Oreochromis niloticus: one gene and its partner. Each later gene encodes a partner of the first gene's protein in a complex. Links are inferred from orthologs where the notes say so. Each region holds a gene or a part of one and is shown on either strand. Other genes may lie near its edges.

Evidence for each region.
Region 2: the proteins of ranbp9 (region 1) and armc8 are in contact, whole or in part, in a cryo-EM structure (PDB 7NSC), measured with the Homo sapiens proteins. The link is inferred for Oreochromis niloticus from reciprocal best matches to the Homo sapiens genes RANBP9 and ARMC8. Residues at the interface, in NP_005484.2 of Homo sapiens: Tyr271, Gly298, His299, Ser300, Leu301, Gly302, Ile303, Asp337, Asp340, Tyr341, Arg343, Glu344, Thr347; in NP_001350870.1 of Homo sapiens: Gln245, Arg246, Asp247, Val277, Leu278, Lys279, Ile317, Ile320, Thr321, Asp322, His323.

What each region holds. Positions count from the first base shown.
Region 1 is NC_031982.2:31,499,812-31,510,161, forward strand, and holds the start of ranbp9 (ran-binding protein 9), read left to right. Parts: upstream 1-6,190; 5' UTR 6,191-6,650; coding exon 6,651-6,867; intron 6,868-10,125; coding exon 10,126-10,237; intron 10,238-10,350. Other genes in the region: E3 ubiquitin-protein ligase RNF182, read left to right, coding at 1-110. UniProt on the Homo sapiens protein: May act as scaffolding protein, and as adapter protein to couple membrane receptors to intracellular signaling pathways. Acts as a mediator of cell spreading and actin cytoskeleton rearrangement.
Region 2 is NC_031987.2:32,719,337-32,729,889, forward strand, and holds the start of armc8 (armadillo repeat-containing protein 8), read left to right. Parts: upstream 1-6,375; 5' UTR 6,376-6,539; coding exon 6,540-6,584; intron 6,585-6,897; exon of another isoform or gene 6,898-7,372; coding exon of another isoform or gene 7,373-7,375; exon of another isoform or gene 7,376-7,383; coding exon of another isoform or gene 7,384-7,419; intron 7,420-8,066; coding exon 8,067-8,143; intron 8,144-9,353; coding exon 9,354-9,425; intron 9,426-10,295; coding exon 10,296-10,438; intron 10,439-10,517; coding exon 10,518-10,553. Other genes in the region: dbr1 (lariat debranching enzyme), read right to left, coding at 1,919-2,660, 3,640-3,785, 3,870-3,947, 4,049-4,273, 4,369-4,454, 4,541-4,621, 4,704-4,828, 4,924-5,138 and 1 more. UniProt on the Homo sapiens protein: Component of the CTLH E3 ubiquitin-protein ligase complex that selectively accepts ubiquitin from UBE2H and mediates ubiquitination and subsequent proteasomal degradation of the transcription factor HBP1.

The DNA of each region.
Region 1 (10,350 bases):
CACTCGGGGTGCTTCTGGTGAGCCTGGTTCCTGCCAGCCTCATCGTGATCATGGTCTATGGGTTCTGCCAGTGTATCTGCCATGAGTTCTGGGACTGCTTACCATCATAATGCAACCAAATGAACAGGCAATGCTTTGCTTTGAACATGCTTCACAATAGATCTCCAGAATTGACTAATGGGGATGTTACTGTCTAGCTAACCATGTGAACTGTTATTTGAATGGCATAAAAGTGGAGCTCATACATCTTAATTTGTGCAATTTTTAGGCTGATAATCACTTACCTAATAAAGCTCAAAATGTCAGATAGCTTTGACTAAAACACTACTTCTGAAGGAATCTGTTTAATTTAATGCATTATGACGTTATAGTTCAAAATCTAAAGGAATGTATAGACTGTTCTCATCTCCACATTGGTGTGGCTGATTTACATACAAGGTGTCCTCTTTAACTATTCCCTGATACATCAGGTTAGGTATTAAGCAGCCAGCTTTCTTCTGAGTGGCATGAGTGGCAAACATAAGGTTTGAACCAAAGGTGGGTGCAGCTCCTGTGGTCACAGCCAGAGCTGTGTACCTGAGATGATCATATTAGAGCTATCCTGTCATCATGCAGAGTGAAGATTAAAAATAAAACTGACAGAGTATTTAGATCAGCCTGAACTTTTGGCTGATTGGGATTACTTTCACATGACTAACATCATCATTTGAAATTTTGGCCATGTTTAGGCACGAGCATCCGCCACTGCAGCAGTACATATCTGAAAGAAAATGAGAAAAAACACAATAGGTACCTTTAATGGAGATATAATATGTAAAACGCAACTGCAGATCAGCAGCAGAGATCTTAAACATTGTCTCTGAGATCTTAAATTTGATTTTAAACACACTCATTGCCTGTGTCAGAGGGACAAATCATTTTGTTCCGATTAAAGCCCTGCCAGCTAAAATGATTAATTCCCTCAAACAGAATAAAAGAAGGCATAATAATAATAATATTTGCTGATAACTAACATTAGAGGGAAAAGCAGGATCTAGCTGATATAATTAGTCAAACATTAAGCTAGAGTGTTTTTTAAGACGTGGGATCTCTGCTGTTAACGTCTGTTCACAGTGTACTGTATTATTAGTCTGAGCCACCAGATGGTGCTGTGACCATCCACCCCAACATCCACCTTCACTGCTGAGGTTTTGCTGGATGTCCTGTCCTTGCAAAAGTCTTTATTTCCAGTGTCTTTATTCAGGCTGTTAATCCTTGCAAAAAGATGTCAGCTAATGGGGTGACTGATAACTGACAGACCATCTCTGTTAATTAAAACAGTTAGAATCTGCTTCAGACCAGCTCAGACTGTTGTTTAAGATTTTGGTGCAAGTGTAACAGCAGTGTTTACACTGTAAGTTTGACAGTCAAATTAACAGTCATGTTTTCATGCTTACTTGGTATTGTCTGGAGTGGAGACGTCTGGAGAGATAACTGACTGAGAGACCCGAGTCAAAAACAAGCTGGGCTAATAAATGTGTATGAGGTGAATAACATTGCACTGCTATAATTTGTGGATTATTAAAATAATCTTGAACCTCTGATGCATGTTTTGTTTTACCTTAATATAATAATACAAATACAAACCTTTTAAAAGTGCAAAATTGACTACAGAATTACTCATGTTTTTATCTTAACATTACTCATACACTCAGAAATGCACTGGCCTTTATTTACAACTTGTCTTGCTGACCATACGACAATTTATTCCTCCTACATCTACAATTCTTCAATCTTCAATCCTTTGGATATGCACACAAGAGAGATGCAGGATGAAACTTTTGAATTTATCTTTAATTAAGAACATTTTCTTAAATGTTAAAATATAAAATTGTATTTTAACTTTAACTCTTTTGTATTTGCTTGGACACGGACTATCTTCTTATATTACACATGGAAATCTAGAAGAAATAGTGCAAATATGTACCTTTTTCTTCTGGTGCACATGCAACCACCAGCCACTTTATTAGATACACTTTACTGGGTTAGACTAGTTTTTGCCTTAATCATTTGTGGCATAAACTGAGCAAGGGGTTGAAACTACTTCTCACAGATTTTGGTCCATATTGACATGATGACATCACGCAGTTGCCGCATGATGAGAATCTTCTGGTTCTCCTGGTTCTTGTATCAACAGTTCAGGCATCCATGTTATTATGTTCCATCCATCCATTGTCAATCAGAAGTTGTCTTGACCACATGTTAAAGTCTCAATCTATTGAGTTGAAGAATTGGTTAATTAGATATTTGCATAAGCAGTTGAACAGGTGGATTTGGCACCAGGTGGCATTCCTGTCACAGCTCCAAAGGGTGCCTGCAGCTGGAACTGAACCAGCAACCTTCTACTTATCAAGTGAGTGTGTTAACTTCTACACCACAAAGAGCAAAAGAAAAGTGAAAGGTGCTCCTGGAAGTATATTATGTTCTGTCAAGTTAATTACCACTAAGAACTGAAAGCAATGGCAAATAATATAGACATATAAATAATATATCATATATATAAAATATAAACAATATAAAGTTTTTTAATACAACATTTTGTGCATGGGAAGCAGAAGCACAAAATAAAAGTGCTAACAAAAAACAAACTGAAGTTATTTCACATCATGCAATAAAGTACAGATTCTTAGTCACATAAACCTACAAAATCATAAATTTTTAATTATGTGTTTTAATTCATTTGATTAGTGGAAAAGCATAAACAGCATATTGTGACGTATACATATGCATACATACAGGGGCTTTATTACATCGCTCTACACAGCGTCACCAGTGGTTAGAAGGCAAGCTTTAAATACCACTTTATTTGATTATTCTGCTCTGAATTCCTTTTTAGAAACTTTTGTTCTTTATTTTCTTACAGTTTTATTCCTCTTCATTTTGCAACACCCAGAACATTTTCATGTAAAATCAGTACAAACTAAAATGTGATCAATATGGAATATTATAATGGATAAATACAGAATTAAATTACAAAAAAAAGCACTGAAGCTAAGCCTTGATGTGGCTCGGTTAACACAGGAAGAGGGTCAAACCCAGCAGAGCCCTTCTGTGTGGACTTTTGTTCTTACTTTCGAGGGTTCTGGTAAATTCTGTAAAAGAGATTCTTAATCACTTTCACTTCCTGGTTTAATATCGTTCAAAAGGATACACAAACCAGAGATTCTCAATGTATGGAAATCATTATTTCTGTAAAATATTGCTGTTGATTTAAAATACTTTGCTTGTACAAACTGTTTTTATAGCTTATTTTGCTATGCTCTTGGTTTATACTGATTCATTGATGTGTCATTAGCCTTTTTGTGTTTGAGCTGCTGAATATAAGATGATAAGTGAAAATATCCCTCTCTAAAAAAACAATAATAGAATAAATAGCTTCATAGTTTATAGATGAATACATTTTTCCCCACTGGTTTCAAATCCGAGCTTTCATTTCTGTTGCACTATTATTTATTTAATCATTTGTTTAAGACACTGAGGAGCTGTTCCCAGCACAATTTGTACCCATTCTGCTTCTACGGCACACGTCTTGCTGATGATAAACAGCCAAGGCCTAATGTGTGTGTTTTCCAGGGGATGTGAATGTGAGCAACTGCTTCCCTACAGGGAGCGTAACATCATTTCAGATTCCTTTTTAGTGATGCAATGAACATTCCCACATGTTGGCGCGAGGGACATTCACAGACCATGTGAGCCAAACAAAACAAAACAAAACAAAAAAAAACCCCTTTAGTTTATAACAGTGATCAGAGCTGCTGGAAACAAAAACAAGACAAAACACAATCTTTAAAACAACTGTTTTTAGTTCATTCACTGGCAGGCATGAATTATGTATTACTGCCAAGCTTTTGTTTTACTTTCTGTCTGTGTGTGTTTTGACTGAGCTGGTTTCCTTTAATTTAACTATTAAAATATCAACTAACAGGCTGGATTAGTGCTGAACTACACCCAGAGAGGCCCCACACAAAAATATTCTGTTAATTCATAGGAATTTTATTAGCTGCATGTCAGTTTAAAGTTCAAAACACTGATGCTAAATCCTTTTTACTGTAATGTTAATAGGCCCTTTAAAAAAATACAAGGTTAGGGAAAGATTATTACATAAAAAGACCACTTTAATCATAAGATACGACTTTATTAACACTGAATTCAAAAACCACCTTTCCTTAAACATTGGCTACATAATTACCCCTCACTGTCTCTGGCCTGTGTTTGTACAGCCACCATCCACCCCAACCACCTCCCTGATTAGCCCATAACATTTTCTCACAACAGAAAAACACTGCCAAATAGCAACACAAAATGGTAAGAGGTCATTTTTAGATACCAGAATGTCTTTTAATTTACCTGATACATTCATAGTACACATTGCAGAATAAATTCATGTTTATTTAACAGTTAGCGATTACATGAAGCACAGTAAACTCTGAAGAAAGTGCTAATATTTTTTCAGAGAAGGAAAGGACACTTGTACCTAGTGGAGGTCGGGGTTGGTGAAGGGTATTTGAATGGTAAAACCCGCCACTCCAACCTTAATCAAGATTTTGAACTTTTTGTTTATACCCTAAGCGTAGCATCATTAGTATCAACCTTTACTCCACCTTTATTACCTGTGCAATCTACTATATGTTGCATTCAGTTGCTGTTTGCAAGTTACATGTGCTGTAATTATGTTTAACTTCTGCCCAATGAGGGTACCAATATGTATTACCGGGGCATCACTGTTTACAGTGCAGCAAAAATAGAAATACAGGGATGTAAACTGAACATAGTTGGATGAAAATCCTTTAAACATTTGCCAAAAAAGCAATTTGACTAAATAAACTTCTTCATGTTAGCAATTATTTGATAATCATCTTTTATAAAGTAATACTGGTTCAGTCTTGTCCACAGTACAAAAAACAAAAAATCAATGTAAACAAAGAAATGTATTTTAATGAAGCAAACAGTCATTGATATAATGTAGTAATTAGATGTAAATCCGACAAATGAAGATTTCAAAAATTGAAAAATTAAATAAAATTAGCCCCAATAAAACCCTGGCTGTCAACATGTGTGAGACTGCAGGCAAAAATAAAAATGCAATTAATGTGCAGTACACTGTTAATAAACTAGAAGAAGGCACATCTATAGATATGGTGCTTACTGTGATTAATTATTATCAAGCTACTCTATATGCTCTCTGAAAATCCTTCAAGTGAGAGAAATCCTTCTAATGCTACAGAGTAGGGCTGGTGGAGGACCAGGGTTTTTTATTCATGTGGTTCCATAGTGGAGTGGTGTACATATTTGACAAACAAGTGTAAGATACCTGGTTTGATTCCAGGAGGAAATGCAAGGTGAATTGAACCACGAATCCTGACAAGACCTCCCTTTGGTGTTCCGGGTATTTGGTAGCCACCATGGCCCAATCAATCATGCAGCACAACTGGCCATGGTGACTACTTTTGAATATGGTGTAGCTGAAAGTAGCTTTGTTTTTGTTTTATTATCTCTCCATGCTCCTCTTTTCCGTATTTCCTTTCCATTAATCCCCCTACTTGATCACCACAGATAGCTGCCCTTCCCCAAGCCTGACTTGAAGTCTCTTTCCTGTTAAATAGGAGTTCTTCCTTCATATGGTTGCCAAAAGCTCTTTGTATGTTTGTTTATATTATTAAAACTGAAATAAATAATTAAAGTGACACCTTCAAATTGTGGTTAGCATGGTGGTTAGCACCTGGACCTTGCAGCAAGAAGGTCTTGGGTTCAAATCCAGCCTTTCCTGCCTCTCCTGTAGTTTGCATGTTCTCTCTGTGTCTTTGTGGGTTCCCTCTGAGTATTCTGGCTTCCACCCAAAGAAGTGGATAGGGTGGAGTAAGTGGTAGATAAAAGAGAAAAAAAAGAACTTCCAAATTAAGACCATATAGATTTTTCACCTTACATTGTCATAGGATATTAAAAAGAAAAACATATAATTAAATGCAAATCTAGTTTAGAAACATCAACAATAAAAAGGTAACAGTAATGATAGAGCTTAAAAACTGAAAACAATTATGATGACACTAATCATGAAGGCTTGCTGACAGTGTTAACCTTGTAATCTACTGATAAGATAGTTTTTAGCTCACTCTGTGTATTTACTTCACATTCCCATAGGAAGTGAGTGGAGCTGTTCTCAGCCAATCAGATCAGCGGATAATGCTCCGACAACAAACAAAAGATCGAGGCTAGCCGAGCTCATCATACTTTGTCGATCCGTCTAGGCTAACGTTAGTAGTTACTTTGCCCCCAGCAACGACTAGCTCCCTGTTTTTTTAAACTTCTTCGCTCAGATCCGGTGGGGCAGTCTCATCCTCTTGTTTCTATTTGTGTTTTAGTCAGACCTAATGTCAACCTGAGCCATTTTCAGCTATCGCTTCGCCTTTGCTGGCCAAGCTAAACGCGTTAGCCAGGTTAGCTGTTCGGCTAACCAGCTCTGGCTGCCTCTCTGCAACAACCAGCGAAGCCAATTAGCTTAGCTTCCTAGCTCGCTAGCTTTGCTAACTCCCCTTTAAAACTTGACACTGACGGACACAAGTGGTTCTGGCTTGTTGCTGACAAGCCAGTTTACTAAAACTCGTGTCGTAGCCATGTCTGGACAGTCATCCGGCGGTGGGTTTCTGATGTCGGTAGTTGTCCACGGAGACTCGGCTCTGAACGAGCAGGAAAAAGAGCTCAATCAACGGCTCCGACGGCTCTATCCGGCCGTTAACGAAAACGAGACTCCACTTCCCCGATCCTGGAGCCCGAAGGACAAGTTCAGCTACATCGGACTGTCTCAGAACAACCTCCGTGTACACTATAAAGGTATGACAGAAAGCCTTAATCGGGAATTTCTGTACTTGTGTTACCAAATGCTAACGACATGTTAGCTTAGCTTGACGGTTAGCGGATCAAAGCCAACTGCCGTTGAGGCTAAAAACAAAGTCTGCTAAGCTAGCAGCTTCACCAACAACAAGACAGAGGACATCTTGCAACCCGACCAGCTGGCGAGGTGTAGCCACAGCCAAAATTGACCTACTAGCTTGTTAGCCTTCCTGCTACCTTGTTAAACAGCTTGTCAGCTCCATTTATAGTCACGGGAAGCTTTCACGACAGACAACCTGGCGAACTATCTTATGAAATATATATTTTAAAAAATCATCCTTAGCCAAAGTACATCTGATGGTTTGAGTGCCAAAATTACAACGTTCAGTGTTATCCAAAATGAACCAGAGCTTGACAACCCTCTGTTAGGCTAATGTAGCATTATTTTATTTATTATTGTCAGGAAATGCTGTGTCAAATATCGTGATTAGCCCGGTCAGAGGCTCTGCTAGGCTTCCAGTGAAGTGGCTAGTGTTGATAGGATATGCAGAGATAGTTGGACTAGTTTCTTAGCAAGGCTACCAAGAGGGCTTTTTCTCTTTCTTTTCTTTTCTTTTTCTGGTGCAGGCCTACAAGAAAAGGCTAGTGGAGTTTTTTGGGTTTTTTGTTTTTTTTAAAGGTGCAACTGCTTCCTGGGTGTGTACTACTATTCTGGGTCTGTCTGGCCCTCTGCACTCACTCTTCCTTGTTGCAACTAGAATGTTCTGCCTTTGTGCAACAAATCCACCTGAATTTCTTACAGCAGCTGCAACTTAAACATTCAAACACTGTAAAACTTTTACATGTACTGACCTCCAGGGAGCATTTCTCCACTTACTGAACAGTTTATTCTAACAGCAGTGTTAAGCTCTAAAATTCAGGCCTTCTGTGATTAACCATGTTTTAACAGAATGGCATAGTTGTAAATGGAAACCCTTTGATTTTAGGTAGATGGTCGTGGTTCCAATTCCACATATAAATTCTCATATAAAACCCTCTGAAAAGATTGTTCTGTGAGTTCTACTGAAACTAAATGTCAGCTGTGTCCAAAGGCCTACCAGAAATGTAAAATACATTTGTAATGTAAAATAGCAAATACTTTACAAACTGAAATGTCAGTTATGTAAACATTTTTTAAATACACATATTCACAATTCACGTGGTTAAATGCTAATATTTAGTGGTGTAGTTGGCTAGAAAATGAATAATTCTTTGGTGGGTTAAGATTTAGTTTTGGAAGATTACAACGCACATTTTTCACCATTTATCTTTTTTCTGACATTTTATGGACAAAAAGCATAAATTTTATATTTGAGAAAATAATGTGTCATAGGTTAATACAGTAATAACAGAAAAATGTTATCAGAGCAAGAGAGAATAGCATTCGTGTTACTCAGTGATATAATTCACATTTGTACACCTCACACCCAAAAACTGTTTTAAACAGCTTTACTGTGCAGAAGTTTGTATAACAGACAATGCTTAAAAGAAGAGTAGAAAATCTACACAAGTTATTGTTCTGTAAACACTGTGTTACCAATTAACCGCTCTGTAATAATGTCTGTAATTAATGATAATGCTATATTAATACAGGTTATTTGTAATCACACTTAATAATTAACATGGTCGTTGTTTTTAGTCAGTACTGATTAATTTATTGATCGGTTCATTTACCCGACTCTAATGGCTTAGCTATTTTGGTTACAGATTAATAAGTTCAAGACTTATGTTTACCAAAAATGGAAACCACTGTTAATTCTGGGTTCAGAAGTGTAAGCTGATCATCTTTAAACTCTATGTAATTATAAAGATTAAATGATTGAGTTGACTAATAAATTAATTGAAAATAATGTTTCATGCCATGGTAAAATTTTAATGGTTGTGTTTTCCTATTGCTCTTTCGATCTGGGAGCCATATTGCCAGTAGAAAATTTGTGAAATGGAGGTGAGGTGTTTACTTCACTTGATCTACATCTAGTATATGTTTTTTTATATTTGAATGTGGTTCTGGGTATTTGGGAAAAAAAAAAAATTAAATTAACTTAACTGTGATAAGTAACCAAGTGTCTTTATTAAGACATACAAAAGCATTTAAAGAAATCTTTAAATTATGACTAATTGTATTGTAAACTCAGGGCCTGTATTATGGTCTGGACATACATTTGTAAATGTATGTTGTTTTTACATGAAGGCAGTCAGGTCAAGTGATGCTGCTGTTTATTGTTGATATCCTACATATAAAGAACCAGCCATTAAGTAAATATATTGCATATTGTCAGATATTCTGTTGGCAGCATACCTCACCAAACTGAGAATTTCCCTCTCTAATGATATTTAGACCCTTATTAATAAAAACCAGTTTATTTGACTATCTATTGTAGTACCTAAACACAGCTACTGAGTAACATACAGCAGTGTAAACATGTGATTTTTAACCTTCATGATGCTGTTAATAGCTCTACACTGTGGCTTCCTGAGCTAATGTTAACCTTAAAGACTGAGATTATGAGCCGCTCAAATTCATGACGTTTGGAGTGACAATCTTCTCACCAACGACACACCCTTTGCTTGTGTGTTTATAAAAATGTCACCTGTTATATTAGCATAATATTTCTCTATCACTCGGACAGTTTGAGTGATACAAACCTGTATATGTTTTTATAGTATGTTCATCCACATATTCTTAATGGCAGACCATTGAATGTGGAAAATATGTCACCATGGAAAGTAAATTATGCAGTACTTACAAGTAAAATAATGCATCTCGACAAATAGTGGGACATCCAGTATTTTCCTTCAGGCTGCTTTTATTTATAGATCCAGACTTGGGTTGTAAAATTTTTATAGTGTATTGTCTCTGCAGAGTCCCTACCTCTCTTCTGATCCAATCTCAATGTAACTCTGACATTATTTTCTCAGTTTATATCTATTTTTTCCATTGGTGGGTAAATCTGCTAGTCAGGTGTGTTTTGTGCTTCTCAAACGTTTTGATCCGACTTAATGATTGCTAGCCTTTGCGATTTAATCCCTTACACAGCTTCTCATGGCAACAAACCCTACATACATCGTAAACTGGGCTTTAAATTAAAGTGATATTTGGTCCTTAGCCAGAGTAACTGCAGAGAGGCCTCTCTGTGTCTTGGCACTCAGCACATGTATCTCATGAACTATAGTCATTTGTACTAACTGCGCACTTCTGTGTTTTACCGCAACCTAAAGGTCATGGAAAAACACCCAAAGATGCTGCATCAGTGCGGGCCACCCACCCTATCCCAGCTGCCTGCGGGGTCTACTACTTTGAGGTGAAGATCATCAGTAAAGGCAGAGATGGGTAAGACCAGCTCTAAACATTCCAGACATGCACATTACTTTCAGCAGTGTTAATAGTTTGGGCTCATAGATGACAGTGAGTGGTTCATAAAGTGGTTAGGCAAACTGTCGAAA
Region 2 (10,553 bases), on another chromosome or scaffold:
TGGAGGACAGAGACAGCGTTTCACACGTGTCTGTTGACCAACAACTCTGATTCCACATTTGGAAAGACACGGTATAGAGAAGACTGAGATTAAGAGGAATGTGGAAGATGGTGGCAAGCCTGCTGTAGTATTTAGCACTAATTGTGAAATTTCTTTCGTGTTCACTCTGCCTTGCATCATTTTCAGTCACAGCTCCGATTGGCACAAACTGAGCAGCACATGTTGCCGAGTGTCCCGAAAGGAGAAAAAAGGGCCGAGGCATTAAAAGAGACTGCAGTCACCCCCCCAGAGTTTGCAGCTGCTTTGAATAAATACCAAATTGAACCCCGGGAATGATTTTGAACCCCTCTGTCCTACCCGACCCTCCTGTGGCTCAGTTTGTATGACACAAGTCAATTCATACCTATTTAATGTTCCATGCTCCTACTTCTCTTGGCTGCAGACTGATAAGCTCCAGCATCTCTGATTCCTCCCTTATTTAGTCTAAATGGTAACCCAAAAAGTTAAGATGTGAAGTAAACATTTCAACTTCTGACACGTTCTGAATTAGTGAAACTTGCTTTGCAAGTCTGAGAATTATTTATTGAAAGATTGAGGTACATTCAGTTAGTGTGAATAAGCTTGCTGTAGCTCTTTACAGCAGTAATATACACTGGATGTGAAGTGTATAACTATGACATGGACAGAGTTACTAAATCGTTATTCTGATTGGCATCTATAGCTTTCAATCTGGAAATGGTGTTCCCAAATGTCAAGGAATTGCTTAATTTCCATTGTCCTCCCTGTTTGGTTTCGAGTATGAGGCTTGTAATAAACCTCCTTGGTCTGGAGTATATCTGCACATGTTGTGTTCAGCTTAAATGACATAACTGTTTCCTTTACCTTACTAGAATGAGCTGTGTGCTCAGTGGCTGTCAAAGGCTTGGCTGAAGAAAATTAGGAAAGAATAGATTAAAAAATACACACAAAAAAAAACAGAAGTGCCTACTCCCCGTTTTCTTTCTGTCAATCATGTTTGGGGCTTTCTTTGAGTGTGTGCTTTGCAGACAAGGCACAAGACTACTCCCTGACGTTGGTTTGCACCATAAACCAAAAACCTGGCACCCCGTCATTAGGCTATACTGTACTGGCTCTTTGTATGGATGTAGAGATCCTGTCGAATACACTGTATGTTAAATATTGTCTTAATTTCACTGAGAATGTTTGTTGATTTTTAGCAGAGCACACTTGTGAACCTGGAAGGACTCTGATCAATGTTATAAATCAGTGGGATTTAAACACACATCTGTGTCCAGAGAAATCTTTTCTTCGGCTTTATTTTCACATCCAAGCATTTTGATGAGGAAAACTGAAGTCTCATTAAAACAATTTTCAAATAGTATGCAAATGGAAGGCTTAAAAAAAAAAGTGCAGCTCTTCTCAACACTAACAGCTCATTATATACAAGAAACGGCATCCACTGTCATTGTTCAGTGTTTTAACGTAGGTTCAGTGGTCTGTACGAGTAAGATGACAAGTAATTAAAACAAAGACTTGCTTTTTCCATCAGCACCTACGATATGTAAGTGTTCAATAAAGCTGTGAAGTCATTATTCTGTTTTAAAAAAAAAAAAGCTGTTCTCATCTTTCTGGCCTCTTTAATCATCTTGAAATTACAATGTCAGAAAAAAAAAATCAATGTCCTAAAAAATCTGGTTGGCTTAAAATACATAAAAATCATATTTAAACAACGAAACATTTTTGGTGGGTATAATTTCTGTGGAAACTGAATCCAGAAACTAATTCTCTTTGCTTGTGTACAGTCCACCTTTACGGGCATTTTAATAAAGCCATGCCCCTGCTTTGAACAGCTCGTGTGAGTAGCTGCAGGTACATAAATTAATGAATATAAACTAATGGAGAAGTGTACACTGCCTATCTATCCCTCACACTCATCATCCTCCGCTGCTGTATAGATCACCTGGTTTCTGCGTTTGATTCTTGGAGTTGGGCCTCTGCTGCCAGCGTCCCCACTCTCAATGCTGGTTCGTTTTAGGATGCGTGCAGCTGTGACGTCCTCATCGTCGCCGCTGCCCTGTGCTGCCCTGTCTGCTCCAAACTGAGCGTGAGCTGGGGTAGAGTGGGAAGGAGGCGGCAGGTTCATGAGGTCGGGCAGAGGAGGGGGCGAGACGCCGCATTTGGGCTCGGGTAGAACCATACGGCTGGGTGTGTGGATTTCACCTGCTTTGGCATCAAAAAGCTCGTCCCCTTTCACCTCTGCTTTCAACTCCTCCTCCTCCCACTCGTCTTCTATGGTGATCTCATCTGGATTAAATGAACCTGACAATCCTGAAGTATCGGTTGGATACTCGCTGGGCTCGTCAGTACTTCCCAAACTATCTTCATCTTCGTCATCGTCATCCTCTCCTCCAGTACTGCCCTGAACTCTCGCCACCTCATCTTCTCCCCGCCCGACCTGTGCATAGATGTCTGTGAGACCCAACTTGGCGCAAAGCTCGGTGGTCTGAGGGTTGGTGTTGTAGCTCGGGGTGGCCTGAGGATGGGGCTTGTTGGGGTTGTAGGATGGCACCGTTAGACTGAAGTTGTCTGGAATGCCAAGATCACCGCTCAGATCCTCCACCACCTGCATCATAGCGGCTTCTGAAGCGCTGAAGTCCCACCTGATGGGTGTATGCAAGCCAACATTATAAAAGAAAGCATGAACAAAAACTGCTCAGTCATAATGAGTAAAAGCATCTGAAGCAAAGGTCAGCAGAAATGACAAAATAAAAGTTCTGTTGGGTGGTGGTGCCACTGAACTCATGCAACTGTGGTGTAGTTACTTAGTGCTGGGTTCAGACTACATTATATTTCTGCCTGTCCATAAACCAATAACATGGCAGCTCATTATTAGGCTACACAATACTATCTCCCTGTATGGACGCAAAGACACTATGTGAAGTATTGTTTTGGCATCACTGAAAACATGCATTGAGCTGATTTAAGCAAATATTGGCGTCCAGAGAAATCTTTCCTTCTGCTTTATTTTCGTTACCATCTACACATACAAATGTATTTCCATGACTAAGCAGTGTGACACACTACAAATTGCTCCGCGCTCAGTTGTGCTTGCTGGCTTTGGGAAGAAGGAAAAGAATGAAAACCAACAGCTGAAGCAGTGAGTTTCATACTCCCTCTCTAACTTTCACAGGTCTAACTAGCTGCACCAGCAACTTCATTCTTGTTCTGTCGTGACGTTGTACACAGCTGAGCACTGTAGTTTAAAAAAAATTCCAGTGACTAGCTCTAGTGCTCCTATTGGTTATTAACGTTTTACTTGCGCTTCAAAAAATCATAAAAGTGGCATTAATTTGTGGAGAACATGTTGCCAAACAAAACATGCAAATATCCAACTTGTTTTTCCCATAGAGCTTATTTTTGTTGCTTATTTCGCCAAGGCAACACAGGTGGTGATAACATCCTACACAGATCCTGTCTTCCAGAGTGACCTTTCCCCTGCTGCATGACACTGACTCTATGTTCAAGCTAATGTTTTTACAAAGTCTTAGTTCTGGGAGACTGATGTTGTTGAAATAATGCAAGCAGCAACTTAACTCTGCTTTTACAGGCCTTGTTACTTTTATGTGTATTCGTGTGTACCGTTCATGCAAGCCATTATTCTCTGGGGGGTTCCAGGGGTGAGGAGTGGTCCTCTGTAGAGTGTTGGTAGCCTTGAGAATAGCAAGCCACTCTGGATCATATTCAAGACCCTCAGATGAACCTGGTCTTTCAGGAATATCCACAATCTGAAAAAACAAAAGGTGTTAGCTCACACACTTTAACCCAGACTCTGATCCTAATATATCAATTAAAAAAAAAAGTTGTCCCACCTGTAAGAATTCCCTGTGGGGCAAACATTTATCCAGAGACAGGAATTTGGTTACGTGTGGTGCACTTTTACCTTTAGGCTGAAAATAAGAGATCACCAAAATGATAGTTAGAACGATTTAAACCTTATTTAAATCCTTATTAGCAGCAGTAATTCTAACTGAACAACTGTCACCCTCACCGGATGCTGCATAATGGCAGCAAATTTCACATGAAGATGCGCAGAGAACCAATAGCTAGGCTGGAGGTGAGCTAGGAGCTCCTCTGCAGCAGGACTTCCCAGAGAGTTTGACTCCACCTCCTGACGAAGGAATTTCTTCTTTCGTAACAGCTCCTTCGTGCTGCCGTAGTAGTAGATTCCACGAGGCCAGTCATGGCTCATGAAAATGTCTATGGGCATCTGGATCTTAGCAGAAATAATCATGTAAAATTAACACTGTACATTTAGCTAAACAAGTGGATAATCATTTAGAGTTCTGTGGAAGAACTTGTGAGATTTACCTGTTTTAATTTGAAAACCTCGATATTTCTGATGTGGTATGCACTTCGAAGCGTTTCAGGATTATATGGAGGGAATTCATGGTGGCCTTAAAGTGAAAACATTCCATGTAAATATGATGCATAGCAGTGTAGCCTCAACTATTTGAAAAGCTAAACAAACAAAAACAAATACCCTTTCTGTAGTCACGTGATTTGAAAATGCCAGATAAGCCACCAATTCTGATCCCTTTGTAGCGAATAACACCAGCATAACCTGGGGACATGTGATTATATAGGTCAGGCCTGTGGCGAGTCAGACAAGCTGGCAAACAAATTTGGAATCAGTCAGTCTCTACCTAGATAATAAATGTTTGGTGCCACCCAGCCTCCATAAGGCAGCTCTTGCAGGTGATTGGAAGCCTCGTGGTTTCCTCCAATGAAAATGGTCAACACCGGAGCCGCCTTCTCTCCAGAATAGTACCTGCAACACAGACAATAATAAAGTTTTAAATGTCCTTACTCGTGTCTTTGATTTAAAAAAAAAAACAAAACACACAACATAAACAAAGAACTTACTTGTAAAAGGTCTGCATGGTTCTGTACTTGGCAGGCACTGCCATGCACTTCAAGTCTCCCTCATTTCGCACTGCCTGGAAGTCTCCACAGCAAAGCAGCAGGTCCACCTTCACCCCTTCCTTCTGCTCCAGATACTCAATTGTCTCATAAATCTTGTCCAGCTCCCCATGGCAACAGCCTTCTACTGCAATTTTCATCCTGTGCAAACAGATGATCTGCCAACGTGCAGAGAAATTCACATTCACACTAAAGGATGGCTTCTGTTCTCATCTAAACACCATCGGCCTCTGTGGACACAGTCAAGCTGAGGTCCACGGCCTCCTAAAAGATGATTTGGCAGTCTATAAAGACATACAATGGTGATGATGATTACTTTCACTTAACACACAATTTCGCTAAACTCTAGTTCTAATATACATTTCAGTTGCGATTTTTTTTCTCACATCTAGTTGGATTATAGTTTTAGTTGCCCTTTAATCACACAGTGGAAAGGGACTTTAATAACCTATAATACGGTGTTGGATTATCTTAAACAGTGCTAATGAATTACCATGTGACTAAAGCTATCCAGGAGCAATCGGGTAGACACCCGTTTAATTTTAGCGCGTGAGCAGAGCTCCTGATGGACTGTCATGTTTCATTTTTCTAGAAACAATAAATTAAATGAAAGGTATGCGAACTGAAGATGACCCTAGCACCTTTTTTTAACACATTAAAGACTCAACAATGCACGCTGCACCGGGGGGTAGCCCTTGAATACGTGCAGTAAGTAGTGCACGACACTTTTTATTTTTTATTTATTTTTAATCTGACAAATGTGTCCCATCTTGCTTTTAAGAATCCTCTACTTCGTATCCTCACACTAGGAGCTCAGGTCCTACGATACAACACGCAACAGCTAGCTAGGCTACGTAATTAAGCGAAACAACTCGACAGCGTACATGGAGGAAATTTGTTAAACCAGAGCAAAGTAAACGAATTGAGTACTTACAAATATGGGAGTATAATTAACGAGTATTTTGAGCCGGTTTATAATCCATAAAGTTGCAAACTTGTGCAAAAAAACATGCTTATGTTTGTGGAAGAAACGAACAGAATGAATTTTCCCACCTCGCCTCTACCAATACGAGCGCATGCGCAATTCTTCATCAAATTCTAGTATCTAGCAGTAGATTCCATTATAAATGTGTAGAATTATATTACTATACTTGTTGCTAAGACTTGATTTAAAAATATATTGTATTTTAAAAATTACCGTTTTTATATTTATTCCTTAATCTGATGCATAGTTCGCACGAGTCAACCTACTGTGTCGAATCAAATTCAAGCAGACAGCAACTACGTCACGTTTATAAACAATATTTACTTTATTGACAAGTCCACGGTCTGTCAGAGAGCTCGCTAAGTTAGCGGTGTTGGTTTTTGTTGCATATCTGCTACGGGACATCACAGCTGAGCCTACGGAAGAATATAGAGGCCTGTTTTAGAAATAACGCTAGCGAAGAGTTGTGTGATTAGGCTACAGTTACTTTTTAAAGGCCTCTCAAAGCTGCTCTGGGGGGTGGAGTGTCTCCAGACTGCTGCGCCGATTGGGGCGCTCCATCGGAGGAAGAGAGATGGCGTGCTTATTGGAGGCCCCACTCCGCATCAGTGTGCTGTCTGTGAGTGCCAGTCTTTATAATTTCAACTAGCAGTGTCAGGTTATAGAATGCAAGCGCCAACTGCGAGTAGCTGATTTTGTATGGTCAGCTAGAAGGTGTCAAGTATAAAGGTTTTTCTGTTAGCCATAAAGCTAAGTTAAAGGCATTGCAACATGTAGCGGTCCGCCTACGTAGCTGTTGTAGAGAATGACTTGTTTCCTCGCGTTCCCCGGGCGGGCGGGAACATTCTGAACACAATAAAGGGAATACATGCGAGTTGTGCCCGCTCGCCCCGTCGTTGTAATCTAAAACAAAATTAAGCGAACAAACTAGCTGTCAGTGTTACTCGGAATGAGTTAGCAGCTAATTGCTAAGAGTACCAGTGCTGTCACCAGTTTTGCAGTAGTCAAAACACGTTTATAGAATGCATCATGCACATTGGATAACAAGTTGTAGGAATGAGATTTTTATTCAAACCACTCAGTATTATTTGATTTTAAGTTATGCGCCGTCTTAATTGCAATAGCAAACTTAACATTGTTAACCTAGCTAACGTTAGGTGCTCCTGCAAGTAACATTAGCAACTGTAGCATACGGTTAAGCTAGCGAAGCAAACTTTGCTAACTCACTGGTTTCCTTACTCTTGAGGTGTTTTTATATGTAGTGTGTCGGCAGTCAGAGCTGTAGTAACTGGTAAGACTCTGGGATTTACTCTAGCAAGTGACACTCACTGCAAACTGTAACTTGGCTAATATAACGCAAAATGTTCCACGAAAAAGCGCGTAAGGAGCAATAGTGAAACGCCCCCCATGGTAGGTGTATGCAGAAAGGAGGCAGCGTGATTGAAGATATCATGGTAACTGATACTTTAGCATCTCAGCTTGACTCTTTTTTTTTTTTTTTATAACACGAGTTGATCCCTTATTGTGTATACATGCTTAATGCTGTGTAATTGTGAAATGAATGTTTGCCACAGTGGCTGTCTGAATGAGAGGTACACAGGTACAGAACGTGTTGGGACACCTTGTGAGCTACGTGCTGGCATCACAAGTGTGACTTCGTTGGCAGCTGGAGGACGTTGACTTCTCCGGAAAGTTCTGGTCAAAGCTGCCAGTGATATAAACAAAGTTTTCTGGTGTCGCATGCAGCCACCGGGTGCAGTGTCAAAAAGCTTTTAAAGGCTCCTGCCGTGGAGCCTGCTGTATTTTTCTCTGCGTGTAACACAAAAAGTGTTATTTTAGTTGTAAAAAATAACAATTTAAAACTGCCCTTTTTATGTATAATTAATTATTGTTTATTTAATGGTTAATATTTGTCCAGTTAGAAACCAAATTCCGTAGGGTTTTACTCTGCTGAAATATGTGCACTTTGTCTGTTGTCAGATGTGGAGCACAGCGTTTGATAGTGTAGAGAAAAAACACTGTACAAGGTAAATCCAGGGTGAGGTCAGTGATTTCTAAAAGTAATGTTTGTGTTTTTGCTTTGTTTTTTGTTCTAATGCAGGAAGTCACCGCCACCAGTCGGCATTATGTTGACAGACTGTTTGACCCCGACCCACAGAAAGTGCTTCAGGGAGTCATGTAAGTGTGGGTCTGATCGCGTATGACATATACACATGTAGATCAGGGTTTTTCCTGTGTCAGAATAGTTCTTATGTGAATACACACAAAAATACTGTCGCACCTTATATAGGTAAGGCAAGAAGTCTGTGCATCTTATAGAGTTTTTTTGTTTTTGTTTGATGCACAAAATGCAAACTTGTAAATTAAAGTGAAGTCTTACATATATTTTTTTCACAGTTTTCATTAATTCTCTTGGTGAAAGGCCAAAACCTGTTGGGTGGGTGGAGACATTGCAGAAAAATCTCTGCGTGTCCTGTTTTGTTTGTTTTTGATCTTGTTTTAAATTTTGTTTTACAAAGTGCAGGAAAAAAGGGTTGACAAGGTTTGAAGTAATTTTTTGGCAGTAAATGACAGCTGTGAAATTCTGCTTACTTCCAGTTTGCAGACTTTATTCAGCCACTGCAATAACACATCTTTGGGCTTTCCTGATTTTTTTTTTTTTCTTTCTTTTTTGTTGAAAATGAACGAAATCGGTGGTTTAAAACCCCCCCAAAACAAACAGTCCACACTGTTATGTTAAATTCAGCTGTTGTTGTTGCTAAGAGTTTAATTCCACCGGCTGTTTATCATTTACCAACACATGTGCTTGTTTTTAATGTCACAAATTCTAAACATTAGTGACAACAGTGTTCCAGAAGGAGTGTGTGCTTACATGCACAGGCTTAGCTGTTTGTGACTTTGTGTCTCACTCTCACTCTTGGTCTGGACTGCTGTGATTTGGACTCGGACTATTTAGTTATTTTTAACTTACGGGGAGACTAGCTCTGGTTACGACTTGTATCGCTTCTTTAGCCAAGCGCCTGACCACCTTAACTGCCTCCTAGATCAGTGTGCTTTTCCACTCACTTCGCTGCAGTTTGATATCACATATCATCTGGAGGTACTAACAGCAGCAGAAGCACACAGGGCGAAAATGCACTTAGATGAAGCCTGTTCATTTCTAATGTGTTACATGAGAATATGTAGAACATGAGATTGATATCAATGATTTCTGTTGTTGTTTGTCTGTCAGCCTGCCTGACCTGTGTCAGCCTGATGTGCTTATAACTTAGCAATTAAATGATAACATGCTATAAATCAAGGTGTTCATATTGACTCTTAAGGTTATATTATGTTGTTTCAAATACATTCACATGTCTCATTTGGATGTATTTGTATGCCTTCACAGTGACATGAAGAACGCTGTCATAGGAAACAACAAGCAAAAGGCCAATCTGATTGTCCTCGGAGCCGTGCCAAGGTATGAATCCCCGCGCCTCTCACACGCTCCTGCTCTCTACTTCCTTCTTTTGGCCTTTGGAAAAGTCATTCTAATGCACTTACATGAAGCTGTTGGAACATGGCACACTTACCCTCTTGTTTCTGTGCCTCCAACCAAATAAGTTGGACCACATTAAAAGCACTTATGGTGCTATTGAAGTCCAGTGGTTTTGCAACCCCCAACCTCTTTGACATCATAACAGAGCATGAAACTCACCACAGTACATTACCCCAGCCATCCTCTGAACCCATTTGGTCACAGATACAGAGTAGATGGATACTTAAAAGGGTCTGTTAGGGCCAAGTTTATTTTTACCCCCAGGTTCTACATGCTGATGTCTGTTTTGTTGACAGTAGTGTAAAGTTGTAGTTCATAATAATATGAAACTACAGCACAGCTGTTAAAGCTATGCAGTATAACCTGGTAGTAAATTCTGCGATGTCTTACAGGTTATGCAGGGTTTGTTTTTCTGTTGAACCGGCTCCCAGGTTGGAGTTGGGAGACAGATGCCCTCTCTAGGCAAAGGCTAGAAAAATAGGCTGCTGGGGGCTTTATTTGTCTGTTTCCACTTCCTATGTATGGTTCTGCCGGAGGTTTCTTCCTGTTAAACGAGAGTTTTTCCTTTTCCATTGTCACAAACTGCTTGCTCATGGAGGGGTCATCTTATTGTTGGGATTTTCTATTGTAGGTTCTTTGTCTTACAGTATAAAGTGCCTTGAGGTGACTGTTGTTGTGTTTCAGTGCTCTGTATATAAATTGCATTGGATAGAAGTGATAAGACTTTATTCAACTGTCTTATTAAAAACCTACAGAAACCCTGACTGTGCTTCCCCCCTCTGTTGGCTCCAGGTTATTATACCTGCTGCAGCAGAGCTCATCCAGTATGGAGCTGAGGACAGAGTGCGCTGTGGTGCTGGGAAGCCTCGCCATGGGCACTGAGAACAACATCAAGTCCCTGGTGGACTGTCACATCATCCCTGCCCTTCTTCAAGGTTGGGTCAAACACACACACACAGATGTATGCAAATACTGCAGGTGACGTGACATTACACGTACTCTGTGTGCTTGCAGGTCTCTTATCTTCGGACCTGATCTTCATTGAAGCTT